Ovis aries: one gene and its partner. The protein of the gene in region 2 purifies or fractionates together with the protein of the main gene of each other region. This does not show direct contact. Links are inferred from orthologs where the notes say so. Each region holds a gene or a part of one and is shown on either strand. Other genes may lie near its edges.

Region 1 (5,776 bases), on a different chromosome or scaffold from region 2:
ACCTGAGTTCAATTCCTGGGTCAGGAAGATCCCCTGGAGAAGGAAATGGCAATCCACTCCAGCACTCTTGCCTGGAAAATCCCATGGACGGATGAGCCTGATGGGCTATAGTCCATGGGGTCCCAAAGAGTCGGACACGACTGAGCGACTTCACTTTCACTTTCAATGGATATGGGGGACAACTGGTAGTCCCTGCCACACTTCCTGAAGCCTGAAGGTTGAGAAGGGCCTTATAGACTGATACGAGAGCTTTGTATTTGTAGCCACTGTGGGAAACGGTCAGCTCCTCAAAAGGCTAAACATAGAGTCATATGTGACCCGGAAGTCCTACTCCTAGGTCTGTGTATGCATGCTCACTTGCTCAGTTGTGTCCAACTCTTTGCAACCCTCTGGTCTGTAACCTGCCAGGCTTCTCTGTTCATGGCATTTTCTAGGCAAGAATACTGGAGTCAGATGCCAAGCATTTGACTACCCCAGGGGATCTTCCCGATCAAACCTGCATCCCTTGTGCCTCCTACATTGGCAGGCAGATTCTTTACTTCTGTGCCACCTGGGCTTCCCCACTCCTTGGTGTGTGTGCTTAGTTGCTTAGTCATGTTCCACTCTTTGCGACCCCACGGACTGTAGCCTGCCAGGCTCCTCTGTCCACAGAGATTCTCCAGGCAAGAATACTGGAGTGGGTTGCCGTACCCTCCTCCAGGGGATCTTCCCAGCCCAGGGATTGAACCCAGATCTCCCACATTGCAGGCAGATTATTTACCAACTGAGCCACCAGGAAGCCCACTCCTGGGTATATAAACCCCCAAAATAGATACATACATCCACACAAAAGTTTGTACACAGTGTTCATAGAGAATAGCTATAAAATGAAAGCAAGCCAAATGCCCATCACCTGATGAATTATGAACAGATTAACAAATCGTGGTATCTTCATACAATGGAATGTTTTTTGGCCATAAGAAAGAATGAAACACTGATAGAAGCTGTATGAAATGAACTTTGAAAACCTTATGCCAAGTGAAAAGAGCCAGGCACAAAAGACTAGTTGTTATATGATTGCATTTATATAAAATGCCCAGAATAGGGAAATCGCTAGAAACAGAATGTAGATTAGTGGTTGTCCAGGGCTGGGTAGGGGTGGTTGGGGAACAATTGGGAGGTACTAGTTAAAGGGTATGGTGTTTTGATTTCTTTTTGAGTTAATGAAAATATTCTGAAATTGATTATGGTGGTGGTTGCACAATCTGTAAGTGAGTGACATCGCTCAGTAGTGTCCAACTCTTTGCGACCCCATGGACTGTAGCCTACCATGCTCCTCCGTCCATGGGATTTTCCAGGCAAGAGTACTGGAGTGGGGTGCCATTTCCTTCTCCAGAGGATCTTCCTGACCCCAGGATTGAACCCGGGTCTTCTGCATTGTAGGCAGGTAAAGCTACCGTCTGAGCTACGAGGGTTGTACACTTTAAATGAATGAGTTGTTATATGAATTATATCTCGATAAAGTTGCTAAAAAATTTAAAAGAATTGGAAGCCAGGCGCCCCTGTTGGAAGTGGATAGATGATGTGGTCTCTGGCAGAATCACATCAGATAGAGGTGGGAGTGGACTAAGCTTCCATTTCTCCCTGCCTGATGGGAACCGCCAGAGAGCTCTTTGCAGCAGGGTAAGCCCTGTTCTCTTTCTCACAATGTGCAGTTCCACAGCAGCCCCAACCTGAAGCTCTCAATTCAAGAAACAGAGAAAAGATTGACGTATGAGATTCTGGCAGCCCCTCACAGCTCACTTTTCTCTCTCCCCCTCTTTGGTTTGTATTAACAGGAGACAGAAGCGAACAAAACCAAAGGATTTGATTACTTACTGAAGGCAGCTGAAGCTGGTGACAGGCAGTGCATGATTCTGGTGGCGCGAGCCTTTGACACTGGCCAGAACCTCAGCCCTGACAGGTACTGTGGCCGTGGCTCAGGTGGAGCTGGTGGGAACCTGGGGTGCAGGTGGGAGCCTCCCCTCTGGAATCAGAACAGACCCGGGTTCCAGGTGTGCCTCCCCCGAGTACCAGCCCTGTGACCGTGGGCAAGTAGGCCTACCTCCCTGACCTCAGTTTCTTCATCGTGTCAAATCAGAATACCCATAGCACCTGCACCCTAGGGCGGTAATGTGTGCTTGCGTGAGGGTTAAATGAGATGATGCCTGTAATTTCACTGGCACATAAAGAGAGAGAGAAATGGCGTCTTAGCCATTTTATGTAAAGATTTGTCTGAGAAAGAGTCTGAAGGGATATGTAGCATCAGGTCCAGGGCCAGTTTTCTCTAGATGATGGGATTAGGGGTGATTTTAATTGACTCTTCCTATTTTTGTTTTTAGTGTTTTCACTTCTAAGAGGGAGTGGAGGGAAGGGGGACTGAACTCCAGGGAGGAGTTCAGTCCTGGTATGAGTTTTCCAGAGTGATTTGGGCTTCCCTGGTGGCTCAGATGGTAAAGAATCTGCCTGCAATGCAGGAGACCCAGGTTCGGTCCCTGGGTCAGGAAAATCCCCTGGAGAAGGGAATGGCTACCCACTCCAGTATCCTTGCCTGGAGAATTCCATGGACAGAGAAGCCTGGCGGACTGCAGTCCATGGGGTCTCAAAGAGACAAGACTGAGCAACTAACACTTTGACTCTTTTTTTTTTTTTCTCACTTTTTTGAAATCTCTGACAGCTACAACCCTACAGGTGTTAACAGCTTTTCCCTTATGCCTCTGGCAGAGATGCCAGGATTGGACTCTCCGGTGGCAAGAGAGGAGAATGGCAGCTTCATCTTGGGTCTTTGGCTTGGCTGGTGGGAGGTCCCAGAAGTCTAGGAGCAGAGAATGGTTGAGGGAATTCAGTTCTTAGTAGGACCTGTTGCTCACTGGCTCCCAGTGGATCTCAGCTTCCCCGTTTCTTCTCAGGCACCCATGGCTTTCTGGAAGGGACAGTGTCCAAACCTCCAGGATTGGGGCAGCGTGGCACTTGCCTCCTATGTGGGTCGTGTTTTCATCTCCCTCACTGAGTTTAGAAGCAAAGTCGAGACTGGGGCTCTGTCATGTCAAGCTCTCAGGGTCTAAAATGTCTGAGTTACATACCCTGCAAACATGTGTCAGCTCCCTGCTATGTAACTGTAATGCTCCTTATATTTGGGTACACCTTCATATCTGTGATTTTATTTCACTGAGAACTAGAATTGGGTTTCCTGCACCTCTTCAGTGCCAGTGCTTAGCACAGGGCCTGGCTCAGTAGTTGTTTGAATGAAAGAATCAACACATCTCTTTGACACAGACTGGGCAGCATTTAGGGGCTTATTTTATGGATGTGTGGTTCTAAGAAGTGAAGGGGCTTGTCTGCAGTTAAGTAGCCAGTAAGTAGCAGGGCCAAAACTTAGGTCTTCTCATCTCTTCTCCAGTGGACTGTACATTAGCCTGCTTCTTAGGGGCTCAGAGTCACTGGCATGGAGGGGAGGTAAACAAAACAGGAAATGATTTTGTCCAAAATCAAATGCCAACATCTGTGATGCCCATTGAGACTTCCCTGTAGCTCAAATGGTAAGGAATCTGCCTGCAATGCAAGAGACCAGGGTTCAGTCCCTGGGTCTGGAATATCCTCTGGAGAAGGGCACGGGAATCCACTCTAGTATTCTTGCCTGGAGAATCCCCAGGGAAAGAGGAGCCTGAAGGGCTACAGTCCATAGGGTCACAAAGAGTTGGACACAACTGAGGACTATGCACAGCACATATATATATTTTGGCCTTGTGGAATGTGGGATCTTAGTTCCCCAATCAGGGATCAAACCCATGCCCTTTGCAGTGGAAGCATAAAGTCCGACCATTGAACCATCAGGGAATTCCCTGTAAAAAAAAATTTTTTTTAAGGCTGTTAGCTCTTTGGTAAATGAGTTGACTTAAAACCTTTTTTCAGAGATGGCTTGCATAGATTTGGGGCAGCAGGGAGAAGAGGTGCCACACAGTGCCCACTGACTATTGAGTCTGGGAACTTGCTGGGTTTTAATATTTGTGTGGTTAAATCAATCAAGATTTTCTTCCGTAACATCTTCCAAAGTCATTCTCTCACTCTTCTTCCTCATTCCAAGCAGCCCCAGCCTCTTCCATTCAAGGAGCATAAATGAGAGTCAGCTATTTGCATTTAAGGGGTTTTGACCCCCTCAGAAGTTACTATCTCATAGCAGAAGGAAAAGTCATTGGAAATTCCAAGGCAGGGTGGACATACTAACCACGGGGTGTGGAGTTGGGTGGGGTGCATTGGGAGAGACTAGGCCTTTTCCCTTCTTTTACATTTAATGTGTTGGAAGCAGTTCTGCCTTGCCTTTCAAGACCAGAGAGGGCCAAAGCTGAAAGAATTGAGATCAGCTAGTTTAGTGATTGCCAATCCACTGTTCAAACCCCAGTCTTCTGGATGTGCCACAAATAATTTTCAAACAACTTCCCTTCTTTATAAAACAGAATGGAGTCAAGATTATCTCCTGACGCCATCCCAGCCAGCCACTTCAGCAGACATTTATAGAGTCTGTGCTGTTTGCCAGGCCCTGGGAATGCAGCCGTGAATAAAACAGACACGGTCCCTGCCCTCCTAGAGCCTTACATTCTACCTGGGGAAAACGTAATAAACAAGTGAATAAGTAAACAGGAGAATTACAGTTTGAGGTAATGGTAAGAAATCGAGTATTTGGGGCCAGCGTCTCTGAAGAAGCTGAGCTGAGGTTGGAGAGATGAGGAGCCAGGTATGGGAAGAGTTCAAGGAAGGATGTTCTAAGCAAAGGGAGCAGCAGGTGCAAAAGCCAAAGGGCGGACAGGAGCTGGCAAGTCCGAGGAGGGGAAAGTGACCCAGCGAGTCTGGCATGGCTGACAGGAGCTAAGACTGGAGGGTGAAGCCAGGTCCATATATGTGTGTATATATATACACAGCTGTAGCTCCAGGAACACTTCATGGGGCACGTAGACCTTCTTATCTGCGTCTCTCTTTGCTCTTTCCTGATGTCCTATAGTTACTCACGTGTTTGGTAATGTGCATTAGTACACCCCAAGGAAAAGAGCCCACTGCCCTGTTTACTCTTTATTTTGTTTTGCTCAGATTGGGTTGGAACCTGTGTCTGCCTTTGGGGGTTAGACCACTGTGTGGCCGTAGGAGAAATAATTGAGAGTGAAGGGCAGAGTCAGAAGGGGGAAGTCAGCTGTTCTGGAATAAGCCCTCCATTTTCTGGAGGAAAGCCAGAGCTGACCAGCAGAGGCAGAGAAAGAAAGAGCTGAATGACTGCTGTCGAAGGTTCTGGGGGCTTTGGTGAAGGGTACCCCACCCACCTCTTCTCCTGCATGAGTTATAGGGCAAATTGGTTGGGACACCACCCACTGCTAATGCAAACCCATAGGGTAGTTTTTTGTGTGTTTTGTTTTTTGTTTTGTTGTGTTTTGGCCACGCTGTGCAGCTTGTGGGATCTTAGTTCCCCAACCAGAGATTGAACCCAGGCCATGGCAGTGAAAGCACCAAGTCCTAACTGGGACTGCCAGGGAATTCCTGCAGGGTGATTTTATGCAGACTAGAAAAATGTTCTCCTTCCTCAAGATGCTCGACTTCCATCTGTTGGAAACTTATTGTTCTATACCACTTTTGTTAGGGAAAACTACTTGACCGCTGTTGTAATAAATATATAGATCTACAATGTGAATGACAGCCCTTAGGTGTGGTGGCGTTGGATACTATGAAGCATAGGTGGTGGCCGCACTGTGATCCCTGACTTGCCTCTCCTGCT
Region 2 (6,414 bases):
ACTGGCTCTTCTCCTGTAGGTAAGGGATGGTGTTGGAATGGTGAGGCAGTGGAATCAGATTTGCACTTTTGAAAGTCTCCTCCAGTTGCAAGAAAGAGATGAACTAGAGGAGCAGGGCCGGGAACAGAATGGAGAGAGGGAGATCCTGAGTGCAGGCCAGAGGAGGGAGGCAAGGCCTGGAGAGAGGCTGCTCCTAAGTGGATCCTTCCCCCCTCTTCCCCAACCAGGGAGAAGCAGGAAGCCAGTGAGGTCACTGGGTGCATCTCCACGGCACTGGAGGGCAGAGGAGGGAATGCAAGGGCTCAGAGAGGTCCCTTGGGGGCTCTGTGGGACCCTCATCGATGCCTGCTGCTGCTGCTGCTAAGTCACTTCAGTCGTGTCCGACTCTGTGCGACCCTATAGACAGCAGCCCACTAGGCTCCTCTGTCCCTGGGATTCTCCAGGCAAGAATACTGGAGTGAGTTGCCATTTCCTTCTCCAATGCATGAAAGTGAAAAGTGAAAGGGAAGTCGCTCAGTCGTGCCCGACTCTTAGCGACCCCATGGACTGCAGCCTACCAGGCTCCTCCGTCCATGGGATTGTCCAGGCAAGAGTACTGGAGTGGGGTGCTACTGCCTTCTCGATTCCTATCTTGGTTCAAATCTTCTGGTGGCAATTGAATTGAATCTCCCAGTAGGCAAGGATTCACTGGGACTGTTTGCCGTCCTTCTCTTGTGTCTGACTGGAAGCTGCCCAAGGGTGACTGTAACACCTGAGGGGCCTAAAATAGGGGGGAACAGAAGACTGCTAAGCAGAAGGGCACCAGGAGCTAGCGACCCCCCACCCACGATTCTCCATTCCTGCTCAAAGCCTGCTGCCATAGCCCTTAGGAATGAGCCAGCCTGTGAAGCTGGGGGTGAGGGTGGAGGAATACCTAGAGCAGAGGAAAAAAAAAACAAACACGAAGCAGGTGTGTTTAAGGGGCTAGACCCTGTGCCCCTTCCCCCTAATGCACAGCCACACTTCAACACTCCCTGGCTTTTCTCAGCCTCTGCAATGAGATGAAGGCCTGCCAGCCCCCATCACATACTTGTCACACACTCACAAACAGACAAATATGACAAATACATACACAAAAAGACGTAAGACACCAGACATGCCCATATATAATACATACAGACACACAGGCACAGACACAGTCACACAGACATCCCAAGAGACATATGGACACACACATATATATATACACACTCACAGACACACAAAGACACACTCATACACACAGACACACACACAGAGACACACCAACAGATACACACACTCTTACACATCTGGAGCAGCCAGTGGAGGCTGCTGATTGAATACCTTGCTGGCTTACTGGCCCAGTGCTAACATCAAAAACTGGTGCTGTATACCCCTCACCCCCAGCCTCACTGCAGGGAGCCCTCTAGAGCAGTGGCCCTGACAATAGGGCCAGAAGTTTGGAAGAGATGATACCTTAGCTGAGGAGCCTTTCAGATGGACGGAGAGGAGGAAAGAATATTCCAGGGAGGGAACATAGGCCATGTCAAGGTTTGGGGTGGGTGGTGGCAACTGATACCTAAAGAACTATGGAAGCCTTCTTTGAGGAGGGGACTAAGGGAACAGACAAGAGGCCAGCGCCCCTAGCACAGAGAGACAAGCTAAGAAGCAACTCTTGGCCCTACTCCACCCACGCCAGCCTAAGCCTCTGTGGGGACACACTGGGCAGAAGGAAATGGGTCAGGCCCAGGTCCTACCAGAACCAGGAGGTGTGGGGGGTAGGGCATGGGAAGTTAGCTGCCTTAGAAGGGCCTAGCAACCAGATCTCCACTCTTTCAATCTTCTGTTTGGAGGCCAGGTCCCCAAACCCTCACGAAAGCATGGGCTAGGACAGAAGGCTAGCTTAGAAAGAAGGCCACCAGCCCTCACAGGAAAGGGGCCATGTGCTCCTTGTCGAAGCAGAATGAGTTCTGAGTGCTCCCTTTGCTAGGAGGGCGGACCCAGATTGTGAGAACGCTTCCCTCCCTGCCCCAGACTTCAGCAGGGAAAGACCTAGGGCCCGGTCTGGGCTGGAAGGCCTGTGCTCATCCTCAGGTCGGCTTCTTTTCTCTGATCCTTGGAGACCAAGCTAGGGATCTCGGTGGGGATGTGGTGCGGGGGTAGGTGTCTGGGTGAAGGGGCTCTGAGGGTATGGGGCAGGGCCCTCCCTCTAGGCAGGTGGGCTTTCTAGCTGGCTCACGGTGGCCTTGAGGTGAGCAGAGGGCCCGTCCGCAGCCGGCTGCAGGAGGCCTAGGGGGGTTCTGAAATTCCTCTCTTCTACCCTCTACCTCGCCTCCTCAACCTTCTTCCCTCAAGGCCCCCCGGGTGGCTGGGAAGTGGGAGGCGCAGGAGGGGCGCGGGGAGGGGCTGTGGACTGGAGCCGGGCGGGGCCCCTCGGTGGAGGCCCGCGCTGCCGGCCCCGCCCCGGCCTCGCACATCTGGGCTGGAGCGCTGGCCCACCCGGCGGCGCGGCGGCGCGGCCATCCGGCCTGGGGGAGGGGGAGGGGAAGGGAGAGGGGTCGGGCGTTGCAGGGCGAAGAGCGGGGCCGGGGCTGGACGCACGTCGAGGGCTGTGGCCGCCGCGGCAGGGCACGGCCACCCCACCGGCTGCGGGCCCAGCTTCCAGGCGTCTGCACAGAGGTCGAGCTGTCGGGAGGGCAGAGGTGAGTCCTGGGCAGGGCGCTGCTGGGCTCCTAGAGAGAAAGGCGCCAAGATTTGCGGTTTCATCGCGGGCTGGCGGCTGAGACCCCACCACAAACTCCTGACCCTCGGGAACGGGACTGGCACAGAGCTGCAAGCCCCTGTCTCCAGCAGGGCTCTGGGGTTCAGGAAGGCAACTGGGGCAGCGACTGAGGGCTCCCATCCGAGCTTTGGGACCCTACACTGGTGAGGGTGGGGCTCGAGAGACTTCTGTGTCTGGGCGTCTGCTGTAGGGCTGGGGGCTGCTCCAGGGGAGCAAGTTTGTGGAGGGACGCGGTGCTTAGGCCAGAAGGTGGAGACCCTGGGGTTGAATATGTGTGTACTTTGGGGGTGCCTGCTGGGGGAGTTCCTAGGGCCTGTGGGCTCAGAAGTTCAAGAGTGGCTGGGGTGCTGCAGTGCCAGACTGTGGGCTGGCCTCATGAACAGGGACCTCTGGTTTCTCTCTGTGAGGCCAGCGTGGGGATCCAGGTGGAGTGGGGTCTGGCTCCCTGTGGGGGCTGTGGAGCCAGGAGGCAAAGCTAGCTCGTATGGGAGAGAGGGACTGGGAGGGAGGAAGCTCTAAAATATGGACTCCCTGCGAGAGTGAAGGCAGCCCTGGATCCCCAGAAGGTAAGAGAGGTGATGAGGGACCTCTCGAGAGGGTGGGAGGGGCTTAGGCCCTAGGCTCTGTGGGACAGAGGTTGTTTGTGAGCTGGCTGCTCCCTTGATGGGGACCCGTGGGGGTGGGGCAGGATGTATGGAAAGAAAAGCGAGGACAGGGAGGGGATGCAGGAGGCCTTTTCTGTCACTCCCTGCCCCAGCCCAGGAGAAGGCAGCTTTCTCACCCCACAGCCTCCCTCTGGTCCCTCACCTTGAGGGCGCCTCTCCAGAGACAGATGGGGGCAGCCCTTTGGGTGCCATTTCTGATCTGTCCCTTGGGCCCAGGTTGGCTCAGTCTCTGGTTTGGGAAAAATGCCCGTGGCTTCTCTTTGTTTGCTGAATGGCAGGATGATGAGAGAGAGCAGGGGATAGAAGAGGCAGGGTGCAGGGAAAAGGCCTGTGGGGGTATGGAGGTGAGCTGTAAAGTTGGGTGGGCTCTTTGCCTTCATGGGCAGAAGATGGGTATGTGTGGAGCCCAGCAACACCAGCAGCACCACATGTCCAAGTGCTCTGGTGGGGGATGGGAAGGGACACAAGGACCCAGCCTCATCACGCCCAACTGAGGAAAAGATCGTTGGAGATTTCTCTCCATTGGACAGAAAGTCCTGGGCTTTTGTAGTCTGGGGAACACTGTGGGTTGGGAATCTCTGGTTTCAACTCCCTCCTCAGCCACACCCTGTCCTAGTCCCCAGTCAGGCCTGTTGGGTCAGGGTAAAGCTGAAGATCAGAGGTCAATATGAGGCTAAGGGCTATGGGTCAGTCCATGGGTGGGGTTAAGGGACAGACCGGAGGTGGGATTAAGTGTCTGTGGGTAGGGCAGGGGTCAGGCTGGGGCCAGGGTTTAGCCTGCTCTTGTAGCCAGGAAATGGTTACTTTCTGTGTAAGCCAAACTGGCCCATTCAATTATTCTCAAACCCATAAGCATCACCAGTCTGAAATTAGTGGACCCCTGGGGCAGGGTTCTACCTCCCCCCATTTCCAGCTGCAGACCCTGCCCAGATGTAGCTTTTGGGAGTGGAGGTTGTCCTGAGTCCCATGATCAGCATTCTCCCTACATGTTTCTGGTAAACGGGTGTGTACGCATGGTAAGGATGTCCCAAAGAAATATGGGGCATGTATGCATGCTTGTGTGGCTGCCACCTGCTTCTAACTCCATCTCTCAGAGAATCAGCAGGATCCTCCTTTTTTAACACAAATTGATTCAGGGCCTCCCTCCTTCTATAAAGAACTCAGAATGACTAGAATAAAAGTTTCAATAAGACCAAAAATTCTGACAAGAAAAACTTCAGAATCCATATCATGAAGGGAAAGAACACCGCTCACATCTGCCTTTTTACCAACCACCTTCCATCCTTGGACTTGATCCTCACAAGCACCTGCATGATCTGTTTTACAGGAAAGGGCACTGAGGCGCAGAGAGGCAACAGGATGCACTCCAGCCAGGTGTCCTTAAGGTGCCTAATAGGCCCTTGTCAGCCCTGAGTATCAGAGCACTCAGTGTATCACAGGCTCAGAGATAAGAGCTGGGGTAATTATAGACAATGGTTTGGACAAGGAATCAACTTAGAATGACAACCCCTGAGTCTTTTTCTTGGTTATTCTAGATTGTTTCTGCTCCAAATACAATATCCTTGGTTGAGAAAATCCATTCATTGAGCAGTATTTCCCCAGCACTTAGCTGTAGAACCTGGCTGGAAGAAGTGTTCAATGTTTTTGCTGATGAATTGAAACGACTTATAAGTACGGCTGCCATCATCTCTCCTGTGGCCTTGATCCAGTCTTTGTTGGTAAATGTTTTTCAGTCTGCTCCCCAAGAGGGAGAAAAACCTGATTTGCAGTTTGCCAGCTTGTGTGGTGTAATCACCACGGCTGATTTCAAACTATCAAATGTGATGTCAATAAATGCAAAATTGAGAAGAGATGCACAGAATCAGCTCTTGGGAGCTGGCGGACAGAAGCTCAAGTTCCTCTCATCTTAGAAAACAAAATCCTGTCCTCCCCTCCTCAAGCTTTATTTTCTTCCAGGTAAGATGCACATCACCTCCTGACCTCAGCTGCACTAGCGGGAAGTGCTAGCTCTGTTCTCTCATCCTCTGCTCCCTCCTTGCCTACCAGACTCCTACCCCATTCCTTCATTCCACCAAAATGCCCTGGGCCTTTAAAACATTAAATCTGGTGTTTCCAGTTTCATCTAAAAATCTCTGAAGGATCTAGCTTCGCGGCCTTCTCTTATCGAGATCTTCATGAAACCATAGCAGGCATCCCTGTCTCCCTGGCCAGCCAACCTTCCTCCTGTCAACCTTTATTCAGAGCTTCTCCTCTCTTCCCTTCCCCCACGCTACTCTCCACCAAACTTCCTGTGACAATGACACCAAACACAAATCTCCACCTTGGAATTCTCCCTGACCTCTAGGTCATATGTCACCTGACTCCTTGGTCTGTTTTCTCAGCAGTTTCAAAAACTGCACCCGGAACACTGCCCCTTTCCCCCTGCCAGCTTGCACTGCTCCAGGATTCTCCATCTGACCATCCATCTCCTTGCTTGGGTCAGTCAGTCTAAGAAGAACACCTTCTTCCTAATCTCCCAATTCCAATCCAGCCAACTTCTGTCAGGCTTGTTGATTTTAACTTCTAACGTAAATGTGTGCACTTATGTCTCAAGATACGCAGTCAGCATCTGTTGCCTGGAGCACTGTTGGCCCCTGTTTCATGTTGTCCTGCTGCAGTCCATACTTCCATGCAGCCAGGTGGGATTTTTAAAACAGATTTAGTCATGCACCTGTCTCCACTTTGCCACTTCAAACCCTGCAGGATTTGCTCATCCTTCATATAAAACCAGGTTTAAAATTGAGTCCACCAGGATCTGTCTGCACGATAAGCCAAGCCCAACCCCTTTCTCCAGCTTTGCCATGCTACCCTTTCTGCCCTGCTTGTATCCGTCATAGCACCATTTGTAATCTCAGATTCAGGTACATGATTATCTGATTAGGAACAATTTCTCCACCATGCTATGGGCCCCCAGGACAGGAACAGTGT

Evidence for each region. Proteins that work in one complex are often made in the same cells at the same time.
Region 1: the proteins of HSPA12B (region 2) and EEF2K purify together in Homo sapiens (affinity purification with mass spectrometry; 3 studies listed by BioGRID and IntAct, with this or other methods). This does not show direct contact. The link is inferred for Ovis aries from reciprocal best matches to the Homo sapiens genes HSPA12B and EEF2K.

The regions. Positions count from the first base shown.
Region 1 is NC_056077.1:20,496,015-20,501,790, forward strand, and holds part of EEF2K (eukaryotic elongation factor 2 kinase), read left to right. Parts: intron 1-1,817; coding exon 1,818-1,942; intron 1,943-5,776. UniProt on the Homo sapiens protein: Threonine kinase that regulates protein synthesis by controlling the rate of peptide chain elongation.
Region 2 is NC_056066.1:51,179,346-51,185,759, reverse strand, and holds the start of HSPA12B (heat shock 70 kDa protein 12B), read left to right. Parts: upstream 1-2,032; 5' UTR 2,033-2,094; intron 2,095-2,564; exon of another isoform or gene 2,565-2,702; intron 2,703-6,414.